7 linked regions of the Canis lupus familiaris genome follow. The protein of the gene in region 6 interacts with the protein of the main gene of each other region in a pairwise test. Links are inferred from orthologs where the notes say so. Each region holds a gene or a part of one and is shown on either strand. Other genes may lie near its edges. The genes, in order: CTNND1, EEF1G, STAT5A, FKBP4, STUB1, EGFR and GRAP2.

Region 1 (3,500 bases), about 33 Mb from region 6:
ATAAGATAAATAAGGAGGGGCACCTGGGTGGCTCAGATAGAGCATGTGACTCTTGATCTCAGGGTTTTAAGTTCAAGCCCCACGTTGGGTGGAGATTACTTAAAATCTTAAAAAAAAAAAAAAAAAAAAAGACAAACAAGGGCACTGTGGCCTGAGGGAAGAACACAACTTCCTCCCTCTCCATTCTAGGACTCTGTACTCCTTTTGTTGCATTTATTGCAGCTTTACTCAAAATACAGGTCACTGAGGACAGGGACACAGATACACACAAGCTCGGGACTAAGACAACTAACTGCCTTCCACGTGGTAGATATTGAACAAATGTTTACAAAATCAAATGAACAAAGTCGGGATCCCTGGGTGACGCAGCGGTTTGGCGCCTGCCTTTGGCCCAGGGCGCGATCCTGGAGACCTGGGATCGAATCCCACATCAGGCTCCTGGTGCATGTAGCCTGCTTCTCCCTCTGCCTATGTCTCTGCCTCTCTCTCTCTGTGACTATCATAAATAAATAATAATTAATTAATTAATTAATAAAAAAAATCAAATGAACAAAGTCAAAGAGACACAGAAGTGAGGATGTGTAGGGGAACAAGTAAACTGACATATCAAAAGTATGTGGCACACAAGCAAGTAGTAACAAAGGTAGAAAGACAGGCTGGAATCATAGTGTGCAATATAGATAGATATGGAAGCTGAATGACAGGCTAAAGAATTAAAAAAGAATTTCTTTTTTAAATTTAAATTAGTCCTCAAAAATTCAATCTTCATACTCTCGAAGCCCTTATGTTACCTAAGACAGCCAGCTGTGTTGGTGAGCACTGACTCCCATTCAATATGGCGTGGCTTGCAATCTTCATTAGGTTCCCGCTCCCAACCAGAATGTGGGATGATCACTTCATCTGTCAAGGCATGCAATGCATGGTCCACAATCTCCATTTTGATTGAGTCATGGGATGAGAGATTCCACAGGGTTCCTGGCAGAGACAACTCATCAGATACTTCAACACCCAAGACAGTATGTTTTAAGAATACCAAAGAGAATCCCCTATTCCATCATTTCTCAGTCTTCCCCAATGACCAAATACCTTGTAATGATATTCAAAGCTTTTGTTTGTGACCCATGATAAGAAATATACATTACGGCTCAACATATACATACATACATACATACATGTATATCAAGAAATAAAGTTTCATAAAATACTTTCTATAAGCAACGCTCTCTGGTTTATCTATACCAGAGTTTCTCAAACTCAGCATGGCTGACCTTTTGGGCCAGATATTTCTTTGTTGTGGGAAGCTGACCTGTCCATTGTTAGATGTTTAGCAATATCTGTGGCCTTTATTCATTATATACCAGTAGCACTCCCTCCCCTTAACCCAAGTAATGACAATCCAAACCATCTCCAGACATTGCAAATGTCCCCTGGCAGGCAAGATCAGTCCTCGTTGAGAATTAATCTATACCACTTCTCGTTCTTGCTTTGTCTTGAAATACTGATCGGGATCCACAAATGTGTTCAATACATACTAATGGATCACAACCCACAATATGAAAAACAACTCTTCTAAAAGCAAGGACCACAAGCTCAAGTGTCTACACATGCCAGGCAGGTAAGTCAAGATAAACAGATATTTAAAAGAAATGACAAAAGAGTGAAAAAACGGCAAAAGACTCCCAGCTTCAGCGTTTGGGACAACTTGCTATATGGCAGTAGTTGGCTAAAGATAACGAAGTATGTTCAGGATTATTGCAAACCAGAGAGCACACATAACAGCTCAAACCTTTGCTACTGTCAGGTAGCAAAACTGATCCACTGTTGCCAGTTCTCACACTTTAATAGAAGGAACATCTGGAATTTTAAGTGAAATCTTCTGAATCTTAAACATCAGCAATCAATTCTTTAAAATTGTGAAAACCTTATGTGATCCAAACAAATCAGTGAGATAGCTCTGCCCAAAGATCACCAGTTCACAACCTTGAGTCAAAAGTAAAAGGACCAGAAGTCCTTCTAGCTCTCAACACCTCTAGGGGTCACGGTAACCCCAACCCAGCAGCTGCCCTTGTGCCAGTAACTCACCGGTGATGACTTCGGTGAGGTCCATATCCCGAGCCTTTCGGAGCAATCGCACAAGGGCAGGAACACCATCACAGTTTTTTATGGCAATCTTGTTATCCTGGTCACGCCCAAAAGAGATATTCTTGAGAGCTCCACATGCTCCAAGGTGCACTTCCTTTTTAGGGTGGTCTAACAATCCCACCAGTACTGGGATCCCCTTGAGCTTCCGAACATCAGTCTTCACCTTGTCATTGCGATAGCACAAGTGCTGCAGGTATGCAGCTGCGTTAGACTTGACGGCATCCAAGCGGAATCCTAACATGGCTATCACCTCAGGCAGCTCTGGCTGTCTCCAGTTAGGGGGTGGAGGCCCCCCCTTGCGCAGGCTATCCAAGCTTGCTAAACTTCCCCGTTCGTGCTGGGCCAGAGGAGCCCAATAGTACTGGTCCGAAGGCACCTCCTCACCAATCATGTCTTCATAGCTCCTGCAGTGTTGAAGGAACCGAGGGGAAAAGAAGAATACATCAAGTTGTCTAGTCTGGTTTCCTGGGGAGCTCCTATGACCCCTTACCTCCAAGGCAGGAGTAACTTCAGCTCTAGTACACTACATCTTACCTCTCCTTTGCATAAATGATATACTGATCAATTTTTCTTAAGGGGATAAGGGAACAATTTCAAAGGCATCTGCAGTTAGATTAAAAATACCTTTTTTCCTGTCAAGTTTACTAGTTCAGAGAATAATTAGCATTCAGAGATGTTAATCACAAAAACAGAATCAAATCCTGAGTTAAATGATACCTGACAGCTAAGCGCTCTGGATAGAGACTGAAATAAACCCTCAGACGACAGAGTTAAACCCAAGAAGTCAGCAAACAATGTCTGAGAACAGTTCTTACAAGCCTTCAGCTAAACAGGAAATGAGGCATTTACACATAGGAAACAGCTGCTGGGATTAGACCCTTAAACACACTTCTTATTTAAAGCCTCTCCTTATCTTATTTTGGAAATTATAAAAGACGTGAAAAGAGTAGAAATAGTATAGGCCTTCTTGCTATATCGTAGGGAAACTTGGCTTTGGTATAAGCTTGAACATTAATTTTCACAGTTCATCCCAAAGTCATCTCTGACACTCAACAAATGTGTTCGAGATATGGTTCCTAGCCTCCAATTTCTAAAAACAATACCTCGGATCCTGTCAAAACAGAGGCTACTGAGCACCCCAGCACTTGAGATACCCAACGACTAAGAAAGAAAACAAGAGACAAAGCAATGGAAGAAAGAAAAGTCTCACCGAAGAAAATTCTTCCTATTTCAATACTACCAGCAACCACTAGAGGGTGAATCTGTCACACTATTATTTATTCATAACCACCAGGAAGGAAGAGACCCATTATCTGCGAGCTCATCTCACCCTCTGGCTCCCATAGGAGAGGAGAATC
Region 2 (4,119 bases), about 48 Mb from region 6:
AGAAGGAACCTTAGAAGTCACCTGATGTAACCACTCCCCTACCATTTGGGATAGCTTTTCTATAACAGAAATCTCTCCTCTGACCACTCATGACAGGCACCACCTCCAACTGGGTCTGTGTAACAAAGAACCCAGACACTATCAACAGCAGTGCTCCAAACTCATACCCCAAAGATTAGGTCTTTTATTATCCACAAATTCTTAGCATCTCCTTTTCTCAATCTATTTTATTTCTTGCTCCTTGACACTCAGGAGCTGATTTCATCCTGGGCCTTGGCTTCTCCCCAAGTTCCAAGGCTTACCTGCTTGTTGTGGTGCATGATGCCCAAGGTAGGAAACACCCAGGTACTGGCTGGGGGCACTATGTCGCTATCAGCAAAGCTCACCCACTGCACCACCTGGGCTGCTGCCTCTGGAGTATTTCCCCGCAGCTCCTCATTGCTCACTGCAGAGGCAGAACACAAAGGTCAGAACTTTGGGGTCAGGCCAACATCGATCCAAGTCCGTAAAAATTCTTCTCCTGTCCACTACAGCTCACCCTCATCCTCTCCTACCTCCTTCATTCCTGGTCTTCCCATTCCCACACCCACTGCAAATTACCATAGTAGGCAATGGCATTGCTCTCAAACACACAGAATCCATCGTCACCCTCAAATGCTGGAACCTGGGATAAAACAGTCAAAAGATAAAATTAAAAAAAAAAAAAAAAAAAAAAAAAAACGTTAGGTAAAACAATCAGGAATTACTCACCAGCCAATACTGGGATAAAGTTCTTACATAAGGCTGACAATCCTTACTAAGCAAACTACTGATATGAACTACTACAATCTGAAACTTAGGAACCAGAAATAAAATTTAAGTAACTTGGTATCCCTTACAATGTGAACTCACATGAGAAACCGCAAAGATTTAAATATTATCAACTGTTTATATAAAATCCCTCAATCAAATATGCAAAAGACCAAAAACCAAGTGTCATCTCTCTCCGTATTCTTGAAAGTATTGTGGTGCTCCCTGAACTGCATTTATCTCTTCTCTGTTTAGCATGGTTGTTTATCGACCTCGATAAGCCCTTTGGTTGGCTCATGGCAGATACTCGATATATTTGCGCTGAAAACAGCCAAAACCCATTCTCTTTCCCGCAAATACAAAGAAACTTGCGAATTTTATAACAAGCCACTGAACAGCTCTGCATCGTTTTTAACTATGTGCGAATCTTCACTTAACTCAAAGGAATTTTAAATCACTGAAATATATAAAGAGCAAATTATACAGAAAATTCCCTTTTAAAGGTGGAGACCATTTTCAGACTGAGACCATCTCAGGACTCCCTGGGTTCTCAGGACCAAAGACCCCTCTCCACTTTTCTACTCACCTTGCCGGCAGGAAATTTACGGAGAAATTCAGGGGTGCGGTTGGTTTGGCCGAAGTGGAAGTGGGGTGGTGCGGAGAGCACGCGGACCTGAGCCCCGCTGTACTGAGCAGCAATGAGAGCCTTGAAGGCCCTCCAGTTTTCAGGATATGTGTACAGGGTCTGTGGGTGAAAGGAGGGGAGGGAACGTTAATGAGCACGAGGCTCTCAGTCGGAAATGTCACTTCCAGGGATAAATTCCCGGAGTTATTCCCAATCTGTTCAACTCACTTTTACTCCCCCTGGTGAACCACGCTCTCTAGTATCTGCCATGTGTAATCAGAGTCCGCTGAAATGCCCAAGACAGAACTACACACCAACTGCTAAATAAAGCGCTGACAGGTTTGACCTTCCCTAAGGACATCCCCAGAAGCATTCTCGTCTCCTCCAATATATCGTGGAGAAACCCAGAACTCGTAGTTCCCTCAGACTCCACCTGCCGACACATTCCTCCCTTCCTAGAGCTCTGGTTCATTCATTGATGGCTAACGAGTACCTGCCTACTCTACGACTGAGCCGCTCACCCCCTTCGAAAGCATCACTCCCCGTCTGTCTCTCTCTCTCACACACACACACACACACACACACACACACACGACCATTTCCAAGTTCCCCTCCGAAAAGCCACGGAGAAATCGAATGGCATCCTCTCCTCCTAAACCAACTCGGTCTCCCCCAAGAGCCGTTCCTTCCCGTCCTGCGTCCCCTTCGTCCCTCCGGTCCTGTCCCGCAGTGAGTTCTGCCGTTGCTTCTCCTTCTGTTAACCGGCCACACGGTCTGGCTCCGCCGCCCGGAGAGCCCTCTCCCTCCCACACCTCCCCGCCGCACGACCCTTACCCGGAGACCGCCCTGCCTGCCCACAAAGACCCTCCTTTGCGCCCCGTCCCTGCTGCTCCCCCACAAAACGGTCGCAAAAGTTCTGTCAACCTGCCCGGATCCCACGTCCCGAGGCGGCAGTGAACCCGAACCCCCTTCTCAGGCCCCAGAAGACCAGGATCCGACATCTCCTGGCCGCTCTGCCCCAGACCCTTCCACCTCTTTGGCCTCCAAGAGCTCCAGCCTCAGCTCCCCGCCGGGGCCTGGAAGCCTTGCTCTCCCAACAGTACGGTCTCCAGACCCAGGACCAGTCCCTCGCTCGGCTCCAGAACTTCTCTGACGCCGGAGGGCTCCACTCGGGCAGAGGATGGCGTCGGATACCGCGACCTGGATCTCCGGAGCCGGCAAACTTACCCCGGCCGCCATGGTGATTCCGCAGAGAAAGGGGGTGGGGCGCTCGGCGCTGCCGCAAAGTAAGCCGTCGGGGAGAGGAGGGGGGAGGGGAGAGCCGCGGAGGAACAGCAGCCGCAAAGCGAGGACGGCACAGAAGGCATACGCACGACAGTTCTACACCCCGCCGCGGCTGAATTGCAGAAAGAAGGGGGTGGGGCCTGCTGGTCGTCACAGGGACAGCTCGCGCCTGCGCCACGCGACTCTTGACTGGCCCGCCCCGCAGGCGACGGAGGCCAATGGGAGTCCCGCTTGGAGGTGCGAGGCGCGGAGGGTAAACCGAGAACTAGCTGGAAAGCCTCCTCTTCCCGGCGACGTGGCACGGCTGCCAACTCCGCGCCGTGCCAGGTCCCAGGGGCGTTCCCCTCCAGCTCGGAAACCCGCGGTGACTTGACGGAGATCCTTCCAGGCCCCTAACGTCAGGACTGGGGGACTCTCACTAGGGGCGGAAACCAGTCCTGTGTGCCTAAGTACGTTTGTTCCCGCTCTGGTTTTCTACGGGAGAGGAGGATGATCTCACCGGAGCCCAAGTCAGAAACCCCTCTACCAAAGTGAGGTCTCCTCCGTTTAAACCACCCGGCGGGCTCCGGGATGCAATCGCTGCAGGTAGGGCCTTGGTGCAGGGCCTGCAGCCGGGAAGGGCCGAGGGAGAACACAGCGGATCCCTGCCTCCCGCCACCCTGCAGAGGGCTGCCAGTTCACCGATGATGGACACCCCTTTACCCACGCTCAGGTCGGACAGTGTTTTTCCCCGTTTTAATCAGAACAGGATGAACTCTGTTAAGTGAGAGAATGGACAAAGAACCCTGAACCCCGATTTCAGGCCGTCACCATATAAATCTGGGCGGTAAGGTAAAGTGGAGGCAAACTCGGTTCTTGTTCCAGGTACTGCCCAAGCCGCCCACCTGGCACTCCATCCTTCAAGAACTCTACCGAGCGGGCTCCGGGTGCAGGAACACACCACATTTAGGCCTCCCTGCAGGTGGTGATAAATGCTAAGAAGCAAATAGGCCCAGACCTATTTTAGGGTGGCCAAAAAAGGCATGTCTGAGAAGAGCAGTAGGTCTGGGGAGGGCAAGTAGTGGGTGGAAGGATTACTACCAGGTGGAAATTAGAGGAAACTCTAGTGTTTATTAAACTAGCAGCTTTATTGCCCATTAGGGTCCCTGTCTTCACTTGAGGAGGTTTCGAAGTGCTTGAGGGAGGTAAACTTGTAAGAAATGATGGAGATCAGGGAACAGGCCTTGAGAATCCTGGATTGGGGTCACGGTGAGAGTCTGGTCAGCCTGGGAGGCAGATGCCACAAAGGTCAGGAGTGGCTCAGCCTCTGGCCGCTGTGCTGCACCGGTTGGTCCTCCCAGCTCCTGGGTGACCTGAGCCTCAATCGCCAGCCATGCTGTTGTGCCAGCAGTGCCTCCACCTTTGTCCTTGGTCTGCTGCTG
Region 3 (2,968 bases), on a different chromosome or scaffold from region 6:
CAGCTTCCCTGCGGGTCACCGGCCCGCCGGCCCTTCGAACGGGCTGGTGGCAGCGGGATGGTGCCACCTGCTGGCGTCCGGGGAGAGGCCTCGGGAGGAGGGACTGGTGGGGAGGCGCTGCCGCCCCGGCCCGGCCCCGGCCCTCCGCCAAGGGCGGGCTGCACGATCGCTTGGAGCGGCGACTGATGCGGAGAGGCCGGGACCCCCGGACCCCGTTCTTCCCGCTCCCGGCCCCTACCCCGGAATTCCCGCCCCACCTTTCCCCAAGGCCTCAAGCGCTACTCGTTCCGTCGTCTGAGCAGCGCACTGACAGCGACCCGGGGCTGGACAGCATCCTCAACACACGGAAAAGGGAGCAGAGTTGTAGCTTTAGAAACAATTACAGCATCAGGCACACAGGAGGGAAGGGCAATGCAGCCCCAGTGCCAGGGATCCCCATTCCCAAGGAGCAGGCGGGGCAGGGGCGGGGGCTGCCCAACCAGGAGCCGCACCACCAAACATATGAAAAAAAAAATACTTTATTCAAAAACACTGTTTACACAAATGTGTGGCCTATGTACAAAGTACACAAGAATCCCTCTCCTTGTCCCCACCTTCCTTCAGGGATGTTTAGACCTGAGACTCCCCACCTTCTGCCAACAGCGGCCCCCCACTGCATGTCTCATAGCCTCAGAAGGAGGGGCGCATGAGGCTGGGAGCCAGGCTTTCTCAGACCTCAGCGTTATGCAATGGTGATGAGGCCTGTTCCAGGTGTACCCCCCAGCAGAGTGGACAGAGACAGGCTTTTACCCCTCGCTCCAGATTGCACAGGCCTGCGGCAAGCAGCTATAATTGATGCTGTCTCTTACTGCAGGGTTTTTTCTTCCAGGAGGGGAGGGAATCAACACTGAAGTCCCGGGCCCTCTGTTCACCCACCATGTCCTAGACCTGTTCCTGGCCGTGTCCTACCTCTCCTGGGAGCAAGGTTGCAGAGCGTCAGGGAAAGGTGGCTGAGGCCGGATGGAGGGAAGGGGAGAGAGTTGGAAAGAGAACAGGACTGGGCAACAGCACCACAGATGTGAAGCCCAAGTACCCTGGTGGAGGCCAGGAGGCCAAGAAACTACATGCTTACAGCAGCCCTGACAGACCCGACTCCAGTGACCCATTTCTGCTGTATTAGGGCCACGGCCTGGATAAGCACTTGGTTCACAAAAGTCACAAGTCCATAGTCATTAAACTATAAAATATTACTCAAAATTGAACCCCTGGCCTCCCTCCCGAAGGGAAGAATCAATAGACCAACACACGTTGAGAGCAGATGCACATACATAAATGCACATGTACAAGCTTTGGGAGTCAAAGCTTCTAACTCAGGAGTACGACTTAAGCTTAGAGACATGACCTGCCTCCGGGGCCCTTCTTGAATAATTTCATTCAAACAAGTGCTAGGCAGTAAAGGCCCCTGCAGGAATAGGTTTGCCTGCATTGCGTGCCTGCAATAGCAGCAAAAGCGGCCCCTTCTACAACAGATACAGGCCCCAAGTGCTCTTGGGATGCCCTGATCTGAAAAGCAAGAGGGTGGCTGCTGTCCCAGGAGGACAAAGGCAAGACAGGCACATCTTGTGTGTCCGCACGCACACACATGCACACACACACGTACGTGTGGACATGTGCTGCCAGCAGAGGCACCAATATATGCACAGCAACACTAAAATCACAATTAACATGACCCCTTCACACTGAGTGTTGTTTCCAAAGAGAAGCCTGGGATTCAAGCATTCATGAGAGGGAGCCTCGGGCCGCAGTGAAAAGACCAGCAGGTGGGGAGAGGCGGGGGTCCAGACTGTCCATTGGGCGGCGTAAGAGTTCCTCCACATGCCGGGCTACGTCCATGGTCTCGTCCAGGTCAAATTCTCCATCCTGGTCAAGGACGGAGTCAGGGCTGGGAGGGAGAGGGTGAGGGAGGTCAGAGGGAGCTGGTGTGCCTCCGGCCCCCTCCGCACTCAGACTACAGTCTCATGGGAACACGACTGGCTCTGCCTGGACGCCTCCCTAACCCCAAATTGAAAACGTCAGTTGTTGGCTCATTGGGAGATACTCAAGTTCTAGTCTCAACTCTCACTGCCTTCTTCAGTGGATTCAGAGAGTTCCTCTCCCTGCCCCTGTCTCTGTCATCCTCTGCAAAACGGGGCGGTTGGGCCAGTGAGTTTGGCCCACTGCAATGCTATTCCGCTCTATCCTGGGCTCCTTCTGAACACCTACATCAGGTGTCATGTCACCTTAGCCACCTGTTAGGTAGGTATTTACTCCACTTTACAGAGGGGAAAACTGAGGCTCAATTTGGAAACTTGCGCAGGGCCACCTGGCTGGCAAATTGATTCAGGACTGGTCTTTGTGACTTGTAACCCATGGTCATCCCACTGTAGCTTGTGCCTCCCAGGCACCCAGACACATCCAGCTGGGGCCACCCATGGCTCAGAAGAGAATTATTTCTCTGCCCTGGAAACTCCAGAGGAAAGCAATTGATACCTTGTTTCCACCCAACTCTTAAGAACAACAGCTTCACCTGAGCTAAATGCTTTTACCTGTACTCTCTCAGTCCTGCCCCCAATCCCATGTGGTAGGTATTCTTGCCTTTATTTTACAGATGAGGAAACTGAGCATCTGGGAGGCTCAATAATTTTCCCAAGGCCACATAGCTAGTCAGCCTCAGAGCAAGGAGCCTGCTATGTGTAGCCCATGCTCTACACTTTTTACTGACTGATCCCCCTCCCTGCACCTGGGTACATGCTAGAGCCCAGCCTGGGTGGTCTTAGACCTACAGGAGCTCTGGGTCCCTTTGCCCACCAGCCCTCTGGGGGCCCAGCCTGAGGCCAGGTGCCCAGGTCCTCCCCGAGAAGCCCCGTGAGAACACAACCTACTTTTGTGGGTACATGTTATAATGAGCCTGGGGGCACACGGCCGGGGAGGGGGCCTGGTCCATGTAGGT
Region 4 (4,058 bases), on a different chromosome or scaffold from region 6:
AAATTTAAAAAAAAAAAAAAAAAAGAAAGAAACCAGGGAATCTACCCCTGAAGAGGAACTGAGGCGTCCAAAGGTGATTAGGGAAGGTGAGAGAGAGATAGAGAGTGAGAGAGAGAGATCAACACGGTTCCAGCAGAGGAGAAGAAAAAACGAGTTTAACGAGAAAAATTCATGGACTGAACAAACCATTCCTCCTTACGCTTCTGAAAGTATGGTTTCTGCTTGTGAAAGCTTACACCCTCCGCAGAGCTGATGCTCCCAACCCACTAACCGTGCCTACCTTTGCCCAGGTCAAAGGAGAATTTGTCCTTGCGGTCCAGACTGGAGTCAAACTTGGTGCCATCTAACAGCCAGCCAGTGTAGTGGACAAAGACTCGGTCCCCAATCATGGGCATCTCCGTGCCTGTGCCCTCTCGCTTGATGACCTGGGAGGAAGGCAGAGAAGGTGAGTACTGGGAAAGCTTGCTGGCTTTCCCGGGGCATGGGGGCTGAATGAGGCACTTAAACTGCCCACACAGACTCTGATGCAAACATAGAGGGACCCTTCTGTCACACTGTAAGCAAAAGGACTAAACCTCCCGTGATTGTGACATTAAGTCTGGCTAGAAGCCAGCTGACACCCTGCCTCCATCTTTCTTGAGGTGCAATAGGACTTGGGATCCTGGAGTCCCGGGATCAACTGCCACGTCAGGCTCCCTGCATGGAGCCTGCTTCTCCCTCTGCCTGTGTCTCTGCCCCTCTCTTGTGTGTCTCTCATGAATGAATTTTTTTAAAAAAAAAATTTTTTTTTAGAAAAGAAAACCAAAAACCTCAAGACAGGGATGCCTGGGCGGCTCAGTGGTTGAGCATCTGCCTTAGGCTCAGGTCATGATCCTAGGATCCCAGGATCAAGTCCAGAATCAAGCTCCCTGCAGGGAGCCTGTTTCTCCCTCTGCCTATGTCTCTGCCACCTCTCTATTTTTCATGAACAAACAAAATCTGTAAAAAAAAAAAAAAAAAAAGAGAGAGAGAAGAAAACTCAAAACAGAAACCCGGAGTTCAAGTTTTTGCTCTATGATCTTGTATAAGTCAAGCTTTCTAGACTTTATTTGTAGACTGGTGATAATAGTCCCTATCAGGATTGGAGAATTAAACTGGTAAAAAGCTGAAAATTATTATCAGTAGAAAAGAGAGAACCATTTATGCTAGGTTTCCTCATTCTTCCTAAATGCTGGTGGTCATCATATCAGGGTCTGGTTTGTGGACAGAAATAGAATAATGGACAGGATCGCAGAAGTCCAAAAGAGGCTGTGAAAATACCAGGTCACCGATGGGCACAGGGGCACTGAGACTCAGGACAGGAGCATTCACTTGATTGGGAAGCAAGTGAAGTGTTTTGAGAACTAGAGCCTTTCTCAGGAAGATTTGCTGCTCTTCTTTAGCATTTATATAAGGGGACAAGGAGACTCCATGGATCACCTGGAACGTATGTGGTTACCTATTAAGGGAAAGCCTGCATAACAGAATGGGCAGAAGCCTTGAAGAGTACAAAAGGGAGGGAGTGGAAGAGAAAAGGGCAAAGGACCCTTCTGGGAATAATAAACTTGTAGAAACCATCAGGACGCTGGAGAGAGAAGAGAAAGCCACATGCTCACTGGGAGAACAGCTTAAGATTCCGAGATCTGGGCAAAACCAGGACCGTTTCTGGACCAGTTTATGGGTTCCCTGAGGTCTCCAGCTTTGCCCAGGTCTCTCTCGCTCTCTCTCACGCAACTAAGCAGTGGGAAGCCAGGATGAAAAGAAACACTGCATGAGGAGGAGGCATGAAATCCAGCCTGGGATTTCGCCATCCTGTACTGCACAGAACCTGCTCTGAAGCACCATCAAGTCGCCCTGACCCAGGTCAAGATGCCCTGCCCCCCGAGGCCCGGCCCCCTCCCTCCGCGGCTCCGCGGCTCCCAGCAGAGCACCTCCTCCCGGCCCGCAGCCCGGCCCCGGCTCACGAGGGGGAGGGGAACTACAGGTCCCGGCATGCCGCTCGCTGGCCCTCCCGGGGCGGGGGCGGGGGGAGGGGGCCAGCATGGCTGGGCCGGTGACCTCGCTGGGTCCCAGCCTCTGGGAAGGGGGCCGCCGGGGGGACGGAGGGCGCCACCGGCTCTGCTGGCGCCAGGCCCCGGGCCGGGCCAGGTCGCAGCAGAACCTCTGGGCCAGGAGAATCAGTCCGGTGGCCGCTCCGGGTCCGAGCTCATGTTTAACTGCCCGAGGCAGCCGAGATCTCGCAGCAGCGCCCGCGGACGCGTCCAGGGGCTTCCCGGCTGCAGCTGGCGGCGGGGCGGCGGGGCGGCGGGGCCGGGGCCGGGTGCGGGGGGCGGCGGGCGGCGTCGGGGCCGGCCCGGGCCCCCTGGCGGCACCTCGCGTGCCACCGGCGGCCCCGCCCCTCCCTCCGCGCTGCACCGCGCACGCCGGAGTTGGCGCTGCGGTCGGGCCCGGACGCCGCGGAACGGCCGAGGCCCCCGCGCACCCCGCCGCCCGACAACGCAGCCCGGGCCGGGAGGGCGATGCACGGGGCCGCGGGCGCACGCCCGGCTCACGGCGCGCGCGGACGCTGCAGGGGCGCCCGGGGGTCCCCGGCTCGGCGGGAGGCCGGCCGCCCGCGCCGCCGCCGCGTACCTTCAGCACGCCTTCGTCCTGCTTGGGGCTGACATCCACCCCCTCGAGGGGAAGCGGCGCCGACTGCGCCCCGCTCTCGGCCGCCTTCATCTCCTCGGCGGTCATCGCCGCTCGGTGCGCCGTTTACGCCGGGAGCCGGGAGCCGGGCCGTCTGCTGGGGGAGGCGGGCGGGAGGGCGCTGGCGGCGGCCGCCCGGCTGCGCACCGGCCTCGGGCTCCAACACCGCTGGCTCCGGCGCGCTCGCGGCCCGCGGCGGGTTCGGCGCGGGAGCGGGAGTCGGTGGGTAATGAGCGGCCGCGGGGAGCGATTGGTGCCACCCGCCGCGGAGGGAGGGGCTGGGAGGCGCAGGGGCGGGAGCGAGGGGCGGAGGGGGCGGGGGCGGAGAACTTTCTGGAGACGGCGGCCGCCGAGCCAGTTCGGGCCCTGCTGCTCGGGGTGCCTGTGTGAATGTGCGCGGCTTGGGCTTCGGGTGGGTTTTTTTTTTTTTTTTTTTTTTTTCCCCTTTCCCCCGGTTCTTTCCTCCCTGCGGCCGCCTGGCCTCCCTCTCCCCACGCTGGGGCCCTCGGACTGCGGGGGCTTCCCCCGCTCACCCGCACCCCACCCCCACCCGAGCGCCCTTCCCTGGCCCTCCCCCGCCCGTTTCCCGGTCTAACCAGATTCTTCCAGATCCTTCTCGATCCCCTGCACCAGCCCCAGGCCGAGGGTGCCCGCCGCCCCAGGTCCGCCCCAGGTCCGCCCCAGATCCGCCCCGTCGTTGCAGCCTGCGGCGTGCTGTGCCCCGACCCGCGCAGCCGGACGTGATCTCCCCGCACACGAGACGCGCATTTTTATAAGCCGGCGGCGGGCGCACGCGGCGCGGCCTCGCATCTCTGCACTCAGCGTACAGACGCTTAGAGGGCTGGGGGGAGAGAAGGGAAGGGGGCTCGGCGACCCCAGTGCTCGGAATCTGGGAGAACACCCCTGAATTCCCCAGACCCGGGAACACGTGCCGCCTTTAGCTTAAAATGGTCGGAGCAGGATTTGCAAGAAATGACCCGCTGAGCTAAGGACTCTAAATGGGACGCATATTAAAGGGACCTTCCCCAGCTATGATAGGAGGACCCTTTAGATTAATATTTAAAAATGGAAATTGTTTCAAGTCACGAAAACAGTCACTCCTTTTTACCAAAGACCCACGGCAATGAAAATTTTCTGCCTGATACTTGGTTTTCGAGTATCTACCGACTGCCTGTGAGTGCAGAGCAGCTGTGCGGCAAGTCAGAGCTCTGCAGCCCCTAGCTACCTGAATAGATAGATTTTGCCTTTGACAAAAAAGAATCATCTAGAGAGTGTCGATTTTGCTCAGCACTTAGCCCCAGTTTAACATAGTGCCTGGTGAGTGGAGTCAAATAGTTTTTGGCTGCATAAGT
Region 5 (4,213 bases), on a different chromosome or scaffold from region 6:
GCTGCGGCTTGGGGCTTACTGCCTGCCAACATGGAGTGACGGGCTGATCTCACCCTCAGCGCTGGTTCCTGTATCCCCCTGAGAAGACACCTGAGTTCCACCCCAACAAAACCACACTGGCCTGGCTTCAGGACGTGTACCCAACCCTGGCACCATCTGAGAGGCCCCTGGAGTGCACCGTGCAGGCTGGTGAGGTCAGTAGGTGGCAGGAAGGGGTCAGGCTGGATCACACGCCACCAGCTAATCCTTGTGCCCCACCCTCCACCAGGTGCTGTATTTCCCTGACCGGTGGTGGCATGCTACGCTCAACCTGGACACCAGTGTTTTTATCTCTACTTTCCTCGGCTAGGTAGAGTGGGCGGCTGGTGAGCCCAGCACACACCAGCACACACCCCTATAGTGCTCACAGGTTTTATTACAGGACAGTGGTGGCAGCAGCCCACCCTCACCTGCTGTTTCTGGCCCAGAAGGGGGTGGAGGTGGGGCTCATGGTCCAGCAGCAGAACTGATGAGGGTGGGATAAGGGACACCAGGGCAGGGATCTAGGGACACAAACTATGTACAGGAACTGGGAGCTACTGCCCCAAAGCCCACCTGGGCCAGGGTACTAGGCAAGGCAGGCAGCTCTGGCACTCGCCTGGCCTCAGTAGTCCTCCACCCAGCCGTTCTCGGAGATGAATGCATCAATGACCTCTTTCATGGCCAGGTTGGGGATGAGCTGTTCCTGGGTCAGGGGGCTCCGGGTGACAGGGTCAAAGTGGCCCACACGCTGCAGTGTGCAGTGACAGCAGGTCAGAAAGTGCTCAGTGGTTACGGGCCCTGCTCCCCACTCTTGTTGGCTCTCACCTGCAGGTGTTCCTCAATGTCCTTGCGGTCGTAGGTGATGCCACTAGGCGTGATGCACGGCTCCCGCATAAGCTCGAAGCTGATCTTGCCACACAGGTAGTCCGGGATGTCTCGCTTCTGTGGCACATGGAGTCAGGTCAGGCACCAGGATGGGGACCCGGCTCCGATTCCTGCTACCCAGAGGACAGACAGCTTACCTTTCTCTTCTCGTCCACCTGGGAGAAAAGCTCATCCATGTCTGCTAAGTACTTGTCCTGCGGAGAACCAAGCAGCTACGCGTGGGCCAAATGCCCCTTCCCCCTCCCCCGGGCACCCTCCAGTCACAGGCACGCAAACACGCACACATCCACACGTGGGCTGGGGCACCCTCACGTGCTTGGCCTCGATGCAGGCCTGCTGGGCCCGGACGTGGCCATCATCCTCATCACCCTCGTGGTTCCGCTGGCATTCTTCTAGCTCCCTGGGGGTCGACCAGGAGCTAGTCAGGAATGGGTCTGGCCAGAAGAGATCACACTCCACCCCAACCTCAGGCTTGTTCAGGTCTCTCTTCCCTCCAACTGCTCGCCAGTGCTGGCCTTCAATAAACACTTGTGTTCTTGACTCAGTTAACCCCAGAGTGCTGCCTTGGGGGTGGGTGGGGCCCTGGAGCCTGCCGCTACCACAGCCCACCTCTCCCGCTCGGCCACAATAAGCCGAGTGAGGTAGGAGTGCAGCTCATTCTCCTGGTGGATGCGCCGCTCCTCGATGCTGTTCCAACGCTTCTTCTTGGCGATGCGCAGAGCACTAGGGATATCATCCCCGAAGTTGAGCCGCTGCTCCTTGGCAAGGTTGTAGGCTGGGGGAACAGGGGCTTCAGGTCACCTTCTGGCCAGTCCATCCACCTGGTCCCAGGCGCCCCCGCCGTCCCCTGACAACCTGTAGGCCCACCTCGCTGCAGGTTGGCGATGGCCTCATCATAGCTCTCCATCTCTAGCTGGCACTGCCCCAGGAAGAAGTGTGCCTTCACAGACTGCCCGTCCAGTTCCAGAGCCCGCCGGCAGTCAGCCAGGGCCTGCTCATGCTGCTGCATCTTCAGATAGCACAACGCCCGGTTGGTGTAGTACACGGCCACCAGAGGATTCCGGGTCTGGGGACCAAGGCCAGGCCAGCCAGCATGAGGGAAAAAGCTCCGTGGGCCCTGTCCTAGGCCCTGTCCTGGTCTGGGAGCCCGTAGCTAAAATCCAGACACTAGAAATTTCTCAGCTTGGAAGCCTCTGCTCAGCTAGGGCTGTAGAGTGAACTCCCGGTCCTCAGGCCTGCGCTAGCCCACCCTCTCGGGGCTCCCAGGAGGTTTTGTAAAGGTGAGGTTCCCGGACCTGAGGAGAGCCCCAGCTTCGGGCCTGGGCTTCTCAAGGGACAGGAACCCTGGTCCCGGCCTGGGGCCTCGAGCACCCCTCAAGCTCCCACCCGCCCCTCCAGCAACCAGCACTGGCTCGAGAACCGCGCGGCCTTGGCTCGACTGGAACATGATCAGCACCGAGTTCTCGGGGCCCAAACGCCCCCGCGGGCGAACCAAGACCGCCCCGAGGGTCCGGCGGGAGCGGCGGGGCAGGGGCTCCGGGGAGGACGCGGGGCCGCGAGCCGGGCCCCGCCCACTCCCCCGCCCGGACGCCGGCCCCCTCCCCCGGCGCGGGCGCACTCACGATGGCGCGGCCGTAGCAGGCCGCCGCCTCCGGGTACTTGCGGCCCACGAAGAGCCGGTTGCCCTGCTCCTTGAGCTCCTGCGCGCTCGGGCTCTTTTCGGGGCTTCCGCCGCCGGCGCCCAGCCGCGCGCCGCCCTCCTTCTCCTCCTTGCCCTTCATAGCGCCGCGCGGCACAGCCCGGGCTTCGCTCCCAGGCTCCGCGTCTGGCCCGCCCTGCGCCCGCAGCCCGAGCCCGCAGCCCGAGCCCGCGATCCGCTCGGGCCCGGTCCAGCGATCCGCCACCGGAACTTCCGGCCGCGCGGGGCGGGGCCAGCGGCACGGGCGGGGGCGCGCCTGCGTCCGACGGGCCGCGGAGGCAAGGGGGGGCGGGACCGACTGGGCGCATGCGCTCGAGGGAACGCGACCCGCGACGTCGGACGTCCGGGACAGCGACAAGCGCGGCCCCGCCCCGCCGAGGCCCCGCCCCGCCTAGGCCCCGCCCCGCCGAGGCCCCGCCCCGCGCGGACTAGGCGGCCGCCGGCTGGCTGCGCGGCCGTGGGGCCTTGAGGGCCGCGGGGCTGCGGTCCTGGCGCCGCACGGGGAGGTGCCGCGGCCGCCAGGGACGGCTGGAAGCTCTGGAGCGGTGGCAGGACGGCCGAACCCCGCTGCCCGAGGCTCCGTCGCCGCCCTCCCCAGGCCCCAGAGGGCTCCCCGCGGCCACCGGGGGCGGAGCGGAGGAGCACGTGGCCGCCGGCGTGGAAGCGGGGGGCGGGGCTCCGGGTGAGGTTCCCCCACCCACCCCGCCCAGCCCACCTCGGCCCGGCCGGTGAGTGTCGTCGCCTGCCGGGGGGCCCGTGGCCGTGACCCCGGGGGTGCGCGGGAGCCGCCTGCCCAGACGCTGGCGAGGCTCGAGCCCCGGCTGCAGGAGCTCCGAGGCCGCCGCGCGCCCGCCGCCCGCGGCCCTGGGGAGGCGGGGTGCATGCGGCAGGCAGAGCCGGCCCGAGCGCCGCATGGCCTGGGCCCGGGCCCCCGCCCCCCTCTGTCCCCGCCCGGGCGGGACCTCAGGCCCGGGACCCCTCCCCGCGTGGGACCCGCCCCAGCCTGGCCACCCGCAAGGACACCGCGCCGGCCCAGAAGCGCAGAGAAGCCAGGCTGGCTGAACCCTGCTGGGCCCGGGCCACAGGGTTCTCGGAGGGCGGGCGACCGGCTGGGCTGCAGTCTCCGCTGCCTGTGAGGACCCCAGCTCCTCGCACACCCGCCACACGCGCACGCCTGGTTTGGGTGCAGGGAGCACCGGGAGAGCTTGGGCTGCCGTGCGAGGGCCGGGCGGGCCCCTGGGGCCAGCCCCCAGAGCCCACTGCAGCCACCTCCTGCTGTGTAAAATATTTATTCATTCTCCAAAAAGGCTCAGACCGCAAGTTGTGGGGGAGAGGCAGGGGCAGGGTCTCCCTAGGGCCACACTTGGGGACCTCCACTGCCTGGCCAGGCAGTCCTATGTCCCCAGGCCTGGGAGGGGGTGGCCAGGGCTGATGTAAGGCTTGGCCTGGACTCAGTGGGCTGCGAGGGCCACCTGCCCCTACGGAGGAGAAGCAGTCTCAAGGTGTACATTCACAGAGGGCAGATGTGCAGGCTCGCCTGGCAGCCAGCCCACACACACCAGTGCCCTGACCCATGGGGCCCTGGGGAGCCCATCAGGGTGGTGGAGG
Region 6 (3,500 bases):
CCAATATTTCTTACTTGTTGAAGCAACACTGTCAATTATACAAAGGACTCTGTTAGGTGACCGAGCGCACCTGCTAAAGGATTCCTACAGAGTTGGACTTGGGCTTCTCATCCTGTTCCTAAATATTTCTGGATCCGTACTGTGGCCCAAGCGCTGAAAGCGAACAAGAAGGATGGTTCCTGTAGCCATCTGTAATTCCCATGGCTCTTCTCTCTCACAAAATTTCCCCTTTTCTTTACATTAAAAAACAAAAAAAAGCACCTCTGCCTCTCTCTATCCTTCAATTTTACTTTCCTATTAATTTATTCTTAGTCATTATTTGAGGTCATGCAAAAAGCTTGACATCAGTATCAAGATTCCCACAGAAGCAACAGATTGGACTTTCTATTGATGGCAAATAAATTTAACAATGGTTATGTTATATGCTTGTTTATTTCTTTGTCCATGGTTACATTTAAAGTTATTTGCACAGTTTGGTATTTGTTGAACATGAAACAAATTAACCGGGAAATGTAATTTATACTAGGATATTTTGACATGCCAGGAAGAGTAATTCCAAAGAAAAGTCTAAACGGCTGTGGTCTTGGCCACACAAACCATTTCTGACTTTTCCATTTGTCTTGGGAACTCTGTGTGGCTGAGAAAATTATCAGGTATTTCCAAAAATAGAGACTCTCTAAATTAGTGGATAGGATTAAGTAATGAAAAAAGTTTGTTCATTTCCTTTTGTGATTAACAGTTGTCAAGAAATAAAGACCAAAGAAAAAGGGAAAAAAACAAAAGGATAAGTTTCAAAGTGAAGTAACTGTAAACCTATAAAAACAATCGCCTTATTATTATTTTTTAATGAAAACAAAAGGGGTTAAGAGATAGCCTTACCCCTCCAGAATGTTGCACTTTTCCACACATTCCTTGCCACGGCTGACGTTTCGGCAGGACACGCAGTCTCTCGGCCCTGGGCCCCAGCAGCCTTCTGAGGAGCACAATGGATGGCAGACGTGGCCTATGGCCTCTGAGAAGACAGACCGAGACACAAGGGGTCAGCTATGGCACAGTGACTGGAGGGGCCACTTGAGACCGCTCCTGTAAGTGGGATGCTGGGCTCTCTGTGACCTTGAGCTGCATGGACATGGCGGGGTGGGGTGGGGGGGCCTGGAAGAAGCGATGACACACAACGGGCTTCCAGAGGCCAACTACAAGTTCCTCTTCCCTGCGGGGAGTCAAGGGTTCCTGGCCTGGAGCTGGGTAGCATTTTGCGGATGAATGTCATAGCTGATGGAAACACAGGGAAGGTTTGTGGGCCTTGCCGTGTGCTGGGCACCATGCCAAGAGTTTTACATGTAAAATTCCATTTAATTCTCTCCCAAGCAGTGAGAATCACTGAGGAAGCCGAGGCCTACACATGCTGAGTAAACTGACCACAGTCTGGAAGCTGGGAAGGGCTAGAGTCAGGGTGTGACCTCAGATCTGCTTCTCCCAGTGACCAGGTAACGGGCACGCCTGGCTTCAAGAGCTGCCTGGGACTCTAAACTCAGACTAGAAAATGTCAGTGTAAATGTTCATTCTACCTGCACGCGTGTGCACGTGTGTGTGTGCACGTGCGTGTGTGTATGTGTTGCTAGCTACGTTCATCAGAGGCTAAAAGGTAAGATAATGTATACAAAACTCAGTTCTGTAAATTATAAATAAATAATTGATAGCTTAAATCTCAAGGCAAATCCATCCTATGACATGTGAGTGATTTGGAAACAATTCCAATGAACTTTACACGATAACTTCACATTTAGGAATATACAGATTTCTTTTAATCTGCTTCTTCAGGAATGAAAAATGTAACTTAAATGTTTGGGGATATTCCTTTTTAAAATAAATTTTTTTAAAGGATTTTATTTATTTATTCGTGAGAGACACAGAGACAGGGAGAGGGGCAGAGACACAGGCAGAGGGGAAGCAGTCTCCCTGCAGGGAACCTGATGCAGGACTCGATCCCAGGACCCCGGGATCATGACCCGAGCCAAAGGCGGATGCTCAACCACTGAGCCACCCAGGTGCCCTGTTTGGGAATATTCTAAATCAAAAGAAATGATCCATGTGAACCATCTCCACAATCAACCAGAGTGATTACTTACTGCAGGCTTTTTCATCTTTGTTGTTTATAATTTTGGTTTTCTGACTTGAAGTCCCAAAGAGTTTCTTCCAGTTTATTGTATTTGCATAGCACAATTTTCGGTTTCCAGAGATGATCACATCTCCATCGCTTATCTCCTTGAGGGAGCGTAATCCCAAGGACGTTATGTTCAGGCCGACGACCGCCAGAGAAAACTGGCCACTGTCGCGGGGAGAAGAAACATAACGTTGTTAAAAATTATGAAAAGATTATATCACTAAAAACGTTATTTTTATTTTCTGGACCACCTTCTGTTTACTACAAACTGCCTCGCACTGATTGTAAGTCATATTGCAGGAAGTCTGTATCACAACTTCTGAAAATTATAAGAGTTTTTTTTTTAAAGCTCCTCCAGGGAAAAGCCTGTTCCTTGTTCATTTAGTATCTTTAACCCCAGTGGCATTGTGGGGGCTGAATAAACGTTAATATCATTATTATATGCACTGCATTTTTTTTTTGTGCCTGGGAATAGAGAGCATGTTCTAACCTCTCAAATATCCAAATACGCTTCAAAAACCATAGGTTCATCTTTTCCACCCATGCATCCACCCATTCATCTATCCATCTATCTACTCACTCATCAATCCGTATACTTGTCTATGTATCTATGCACATATGCATCCATCGATCCTTCCACCTCTCTATTCATCCATCCATCACCCATATCCATTCATCTGTCCATTCACCTATTCACCCAACTATCTATCCACTCATCTGTCCACTCATCTATGCATCCATGCACCTACCCATCCATCCACCTTCCCACTCATCTATCCATTCATCCATGGATTCATCTATCCATTCATCCATCTATCCCTCCACCTGTTGATGCACTGATTCATCGATCTATCCATTTACTGAACAATCATTTGAACCACCCAACTCTGTGCTAGAACTCTATAAGGCTATCAATAGGTTTCCATCAAGTGATTGGGCAAAAGTCATTCACCCTGAAGGGAGGGAAGTCCTGAACAGGAGCAGGAAGGCAAGAAAGCAGCTGATGGGTGCTGAGAACCAGGAGCTACTGCTGGAGCAGAAGCCTGGAAGAAGTGTCCGGTTACTTGGACACCTTGAGCTCGGTTGTGGTCTGCAAATGATGGAAACCATAGGAAAGAGACTTGCATTTTTGGGAAGCTCACTGGACACCAAGACAGGGAATGGACTAGTTGAGACAGCACCGAATGAGGAGACATCATACACAGGATGACAAAAGTTTAACTTGGAGATTCCTCCTCTCTCCTTGTCTCTGTTTCTCCCTCAACCTTTTCCTCCTCCTCCTCCCTTTCCACAGCCTGCTCCTGAGGAAAGCGAGGAGCCCTGTGTAGGAGACCAG
Region 7 (4,255 bases), on a different chromosome or scaffold from region 6:
ACAGTGAGAATTTATTGCTTTAGGGGTTTTTGTGTGTGTGTGTTTTAAAGGTTTTATTTATTTATTTGAGAAAGAGAGCACAGAGGGAGAGGAAGAGGGAGAGGGAGAAGCGGAGAAGCAGACTCCCCACTGAGCAGAGCCGAATGTGGCTGGATCCCAGTACCCCCAAGATTATGACCTGAGCGGAGGGCAGATGCTTAACTGACTAAGCCACCCAGGTGCCCCAAGATATTTATTGTTCTGAAGTCAATAACCACTCTGTTAACTTTAAAATTCTATCTTTGCAACATGTGAAAATAGTGGGGACCCTGTTCAGACACAACTTGGATTTAAGAAAATGTAACGAACTTGTATTAACAAAAAGAAAAACCTTCATTAAGGAATCAGGAGTAGCAAATTCCTTCCTTTAACTCATTCAATAAATATTTATTGAGCACCTCCTGTGACCAAAGTACTCTGTTGATTCCAAACCGGATTCTTCTTTTGTATTTCAATAAAAGTGTTGAGCAATTATCACCAAGGAGTGACACCCCCTCACCCCCCCCCCAAGAAAGGACATTTCGAAGATTTAGGTATAAAGGGGGTGAAAAGATTTTTTAGAAAGGATATCATCTTATGATGTAGAATGACTTTAAATTTTAGAACTCCAAACTGAGTTTTATATGATATCCTCCTTCTGAGCCTTCAAGGGATAAATACTGGGAACATCCTGTCAACCAGCATTTCCCTCTTTCTCTTGGGCCCAAACTCTGACTGGTGCCACTAAGCAAGCAGCAATGTCTCTTACTTTGTGCAAAAGATGCATCGTTGGCAATCCATTGCTAGTGAGAGCAAAGAGAGGAAGAGGCCTTCACAAGTTGCACTTGGTATGGGAACCTAAAGGGGAGTAGGGTTTTTCACAAATTTGAAGGTAAAAACTAAAGAAGTTGATGGTGTCAAGAACCTTGAGTCAGTGAAAACTCTTTAAATTCCAGAAATCCTTTAGCCCAACCAACTTAGGAGAAAGAGAAATCCCCCAAATCTAAGGAACCCGTCCCAGTTCATGCCTGATTGGCAAAACTGGTGTTAGAACTCCTCCTGGCTCAGAGCTTTTCTTCTTGTGTTTTCCGTTAAGGGTAATGTTATGGACTAAGAGTAATATTATGGCCTGAGGTTACTGAGAAAGCATATCCTCTGGGATTTTAGCTTTGTGAGTGATTCCAGGGTGGTTTTATATAAATTCCCCGAAGTGAAGAAGCCCTATTTTTTTTCCTCTGGATTCTTGGATGTAATAAGGGAAAATCAGAGTTTTCCTTCAGAGCAGCAACAGCTTGTTGATGGATCACCTCTAGGATTAGAAATTTTCTTATGGGAACATAATCATTCGGGGGGGGGAAATTGTTAAAATTGAAACCAAGCATCAAGAAGCAAAAGTGTTTCAGAGAACCTCCTGCATTTTAGTTCAACTCTGGCAGCAAGAAAACAAAACCACATAATCTAAGGCTCACGCCCAACTCTCTGAAGCCCTGTATCTGCTAGTTCCTGTGTGGTTTGCCTACAGACTGCAGGGCTGACTGGGGGTAGTTTGGAGGAGGGAGTAAGAAGTAAGGCAGGAGGAGGCATTATTAATGGATCTGTGAACTTGAACCCTGTTTTAGTATGATCCTTGGAAGATAGCACATGGTGGATCTGTACTCTGAAATGCAATAATTTTGATATTTTATTTCATCTTCCTTCTTGCAAGAGAAGATACTATTAATTTGGTGTCAAAGCCAAGACATAGACTCGACCTCCTCTCTTCAAAAAGGTATGTCATTACACAACGTCGGGCCATATACTCTAGAGATCTTGAATAGTTTTGTAACTTGCAGGATGTTCTCTATAAGTCAAATCTAATTAAAATGAATCCCATGGGTTCTCTAAATATTGCTTTTTTATATTTTGGTCCATCCACAAAGGTCTGTATGTCTTTTGCTGTAACAATGCTTGGTGTGATGGGATTCAACTTCCAGCAGAAGAACTTGTTCCTTATCCAGTCTAGCACACAAAATTCTCCACTAATTGGCCTCTGAGCCATCCCAGGGAGACTTTAGACCCATTACAGAGGTGAAATCCCACCTCTCCATGTCGGCACTGAAATCCAATTGAAGGCGGGAATGAAGGTCTGGGCAGCAATGAATGAACATTGGCACTGTAGGGTCAGGATGGCTCTTTTACATACGTTTCTAGTTCTGTCAGTATTTATCGTACCTTTACAGAGAATACCACTTTGGATCTCTTTACAAAAAGAAAACTTTATGTTGAAATAGGTTTTGAGAGAGTATTGTCTATCTTTATCTCTTTATTGATAATTAGTGCCAGGTCCCTAAGATGGTGCCCAATTCAGGCATTGAGCTGAAGACAGCTCCTTTGTGCTCTTTGCCCCAACTACTCCTGAATATGGGGGTTGAGTATACCCACGAAGGATTTCACTAAATTAAAAATACCATGTTTACATACCTGGAATGGGTCCTTGTTAATAAGGTATGAGTAACTTAATCTGCACATTACTGAAAATATTCAGCCCCACATAAATTAAGAGGGAAATGTTTAGGATCTAAAATTCTGTTTCTGAAGGGGTTGCATGTGCTCATGTTATGTCATCTGAGGGTGGAAACCTCAGGTTGAAGCATCTTTTGTTCTATACAACTGCATTTATCATAGACTGAGCGGTTCTTCAGTGGGGGTCCTCCATTTTTTCTTATTTTTGGTTTCAGAAAGAACGTTTAGTGTAAGTAGACTCTGCTTTAACAACCCAGTATTGTTTATAAAACTTCATGTTTATAATGTAATTTTAAGGAAAACCTCTACAAAACCCACTGTTAAATAAAGAACACTGTAAATACAGAACCATTGAAGTGCATTTAAATTTCAAGTTTTAAAAACTATGATTTGTACTCTTTTTGAGAACTTTGTTTTTTGTAAAGAGAGGCCTGTATTGTTGAATAAGATCAGACTTGGAGTGTCTCCCATAAATTATAGGCTTATTTTCCCTAATATATTACTTATTTTATTATTATTATTTTTTACTTATTTTATTTTTTAAAATGACTTTACTGAAGCAGAAGGGAGGAACACTATCGATTTGTTCAGTATCGATTTAAGTAATAATTCTATTGCTACTAAGATATCCTTCTGAATATCTCTCACATCTTATGTCCTGATGAAAATCCCTTTTGTTCTGTTAGTTCAGTTGTTCTATGTCTACTTCACAGAGATACTATGAGAATAAATGAGCTCACACAGATACGAAGTGCCTTAGGAAAAAAAGCACTCTAAAAATGCAAACTTGTATCATTAATTATTGCTTTGAATTGATCATTTTTTTTCCACTTTTATACAAAATATACCTCATCTCTCTTAGAACCATTGCCTTCTGGAAGAGTTGAAAATGATCCCCGATTCCCACAAATGTATTGGTTCTCAGAGTATAATAACACCTGCTGATGCTGGTGCCTTACAGCACTCACGCCTGAACTTGAGCAGGACTTGCCTCTTTTCCTGGATCAAGAAAAATCTACAGTTGTTCAAAATGTGTCATCAAGTGTGATTCCATGAGGAATTCTTAAATAAGTAACAGTTGCTGCTGGATTAGTCTTAGGGCCGGATTCTTCATTTTCATCCTGTCCTAAAAATTCAAAATGTGGTTAAGAATCTTTGTGACCTAAGTTATTTGAATCACAAGATGGGGTTGCTTCACCCCCATTTTGTCCATCTCAAGTATTTGCTAAAGCATATCTTCTTGATCTGCAAAGGAAGAATAGTCTCCTTTCTTTCTTTCTTTCTTTCTTTCTTTCTTTCTTTCTTTCTTTCTTTCTTTCCTTCCTTCTTTCTTTCTTCTTTCTTTCTTTCTGCCTGCAACTTTAAAATTCTCAGGAACAAAATAAATTTAACACATAAGCATTTACAAACATTTATTGGGCGTTCACTATGTATCAGGCCCTATATTAACATGGAGCACTCTTCAATGTTACTATCAGGTTTCAGTAAGGTTGAGCAAATAGAAATTCAGTAAGTGATTTTTAAAAATTTCTTTTTAAATATGCATTCACAAACATTATAGAGAATTGAAAGAAACTATTACTAAGTACATGAAGATAAAAGTCTCACATGCTCTCCGAAGAAGATATAAGACATTTTATGAAGAAAGTGAAGAAAAAGTCCAAACGAAAAAGTTTAAAGTATTAGTACAACGAATACCTCTACCTTACCTGCTAGACTCACCAACTGCTATCTT

Evidence for each region.
Region 1: the proteins of EGFR (region 6) and CTNND1 interact in binary tests that used the Homo sapiens proteins (3 or more experiments, as listed by UniProt). The link is inferred for Canis lupus familiaris from reciprocal best matches to the Homo sapiens genes EGFR and CTNND1.
Region 2: the proteins of EGFR (region 6) and EEF1G interact in a protein complementation assay, tested with the Homo sapiens proteins (2 studies listed by BioGRID and IntAct). The link is inferred for Canis lupus familiaris from reciprocal best matches to the Homo sapiens genes EGFR and EEF1G.
Region 3: the proteins of EGFR (region 6) and STAT5A interact in binary tests that used the Homo sapiens proteins (3 or more experiments, as listed by UniProt). The link is inferred for Canis lupus familiaris from reciprocal best matches to the Homo sapiens genes EGFR and STAT5A.
Region 4: the proteins of EGFR (region 6) and FKBP4 interact in a protein complementation assay, tested with the Homo sapiens proteins (2 studies listed by BioGRID and IntAct). The link is inferred for Canis lupus familiaris from reciprocal best matches to the Homo sapiens genes EGFR and FKBP4.
Region 5: the proteins of EGFR (region 6) and STUB1 interact in binary tests that used the Homo sapiens proteins (3 or more experiments, as listed by UniProt). The link is inferred for Canis lupus familiaris from reciprocal best matches to the Homo sapiens genes EGFR and STUB1.
Region 7: the proteins of EGFR (region 6) and GRAP2 interact in binary tests that used the Homo sapiens proteins (3 or more experiments, as listed by UniProt). The link is inferred for Canis lupus familiaris from reciprocal best matches to the Homo sapiens genes EGFR and GRAP2.

The regions. Positions count from the first base shown.
Region 1 is NC_049239.1:38,896,995-38,900,494, forward strand, and holds part of CTNND1 (catenin delta-1), read right to left. Parts: intron 2,547-3,500; coding exon 2,083-2,546; intron 976-2,082; coding exon 792-975; intron 1-791. UniProt on the Homo sapiens protein: Key regulator of cell-cell adhesion that associates with and regulates the cell adhesion properties of both C-, E- and N-cadherins, being critical for their surface stability.
Region 2 is NC_049239.1:54,579,813-54,583,931, reverse strand, and holds the start of EEF1G (elongation factor 1-gamma), read right to left. Parts: upstream 2,801-4,119; 5' UTR 2,654-2,800; coding exon 2,642-2,653; intron 1,535-2,641; coding exon 1,376-1,534; intron 665-1,375; coding exon 601-664; intron 446-600; coding exon 303-445; intron 1-302. Other genes in the region: TUT1 (speckle targeted PIP5K1A-regulated poly(A) polymerase), read right to left, coding at 3,850-4,119. UniProt on the Homo sapiens protein: Probably plays a role in anchoring the complex to other cellular components.
Region 3 is NC_049230.1:20,489,911-20,492,878, forward strand, and holds the end of STAT5A (signal transducer and activator of transcription 5A), read right to left. Parts: coding exon 2,901-2,968; intron 1,922-2,900; coding exon 1,759-1,921; 3' UTR 501-1,758; downstream 1-500. UniProt on the Homo sapiens protein: Carries out a dual function: signal transduction and activation of transcription. Mediates cellular responses to the cytokine KITLG/SCF and other growth factors. Mediates cellular responses to ERBB4.
Region 4 is NC_049248.1:4,083,597-4,087,654, reverse strand, and holds the start of FKBP4 (peptidyl-prolyl cis-trans isomerase FKBP4), read right to left. Parts: upstream 2,801-4,058; 5' UTR 2,755-2,800; coding exon 2,650-2,754; intron 2,306-2,649; exon of another isoform or gene 2,180-2,305; intron 426-2,179; coding exon 281-425; intron 1-280. UniProt on the Homo sapiens protein: Immunophilin protein with PPIase and co-chaperone activities. Component of steroid receptors heterocomplexes through interaction with heat-shock protein 90 (HSP90).
Region 5 is NC_049227.1:40,363,663-40,367,875, forward strand, and holds STUB1 (E3 ubiquitin-protein ligase CHIP), read right to left. Parts: upstream 2,801-4,213; 5' UTR 2,688-2,800; coding exon 2,529-2,687; intron 1,973-2,528; coding exon 1,774-1,972; intron 1,682-1,773; coding exon 1,516-1,681; intron 1,456-1,515; exon of another isoform or gene 1,307-1,455; coding exon 1,219-1,306; exon of another isoform or gene 1,101-1,218; coding exon 1,044-1,100; exon of another isoform or gene 964-1,043; coding exon 847-963; intron 770-846; coding exon 644-769; 3' UTR 396-643; downstream 1-395. Other genes in the region: JMJD8 (jmjC domain-containing protein 8), read left to right, coding at 60-194, 269-349; RHBDL1 (rhomboid-related protein 1), read right to left, coding at 4,199-4,213. UniProt on the Homo sapiens protein: E3 ubiquitin-protein ligase which targets misfolded chaperone substrates towards proteasomal degradation.
Region 6 is NC_049239.1:6,117,845-6,121,344, reverse strand, and holds part of EGFR (epidermal growth factor receptor), read right to left. Parts: intron 2,330-3,500; coding exon 2,130-2,329; intron 1,013-2,129; coding exon 880-1,012; intron 1-879. UniProt on the Homo sapiens protein: Receptor tyrosine kinase binding ligands of the EGF family and activating several signaling cascades to convert extracellular cues into appropriate cellular responses.
Region 7 is NC_049231.1:26,178,260-26,182,514, reverse strand, and holds the start of GRAP2 (GRB2-related adapter protein 2), read left to right. Parts: upstream 1-1,455; 5' UTR 1,456-1,786; intron 1,787-4,255. UniProt on the Homo sapiens protein: Interacts with SLP-76 to regulate NF-AT activation. Binds to tyrosine-phosphorylated shc.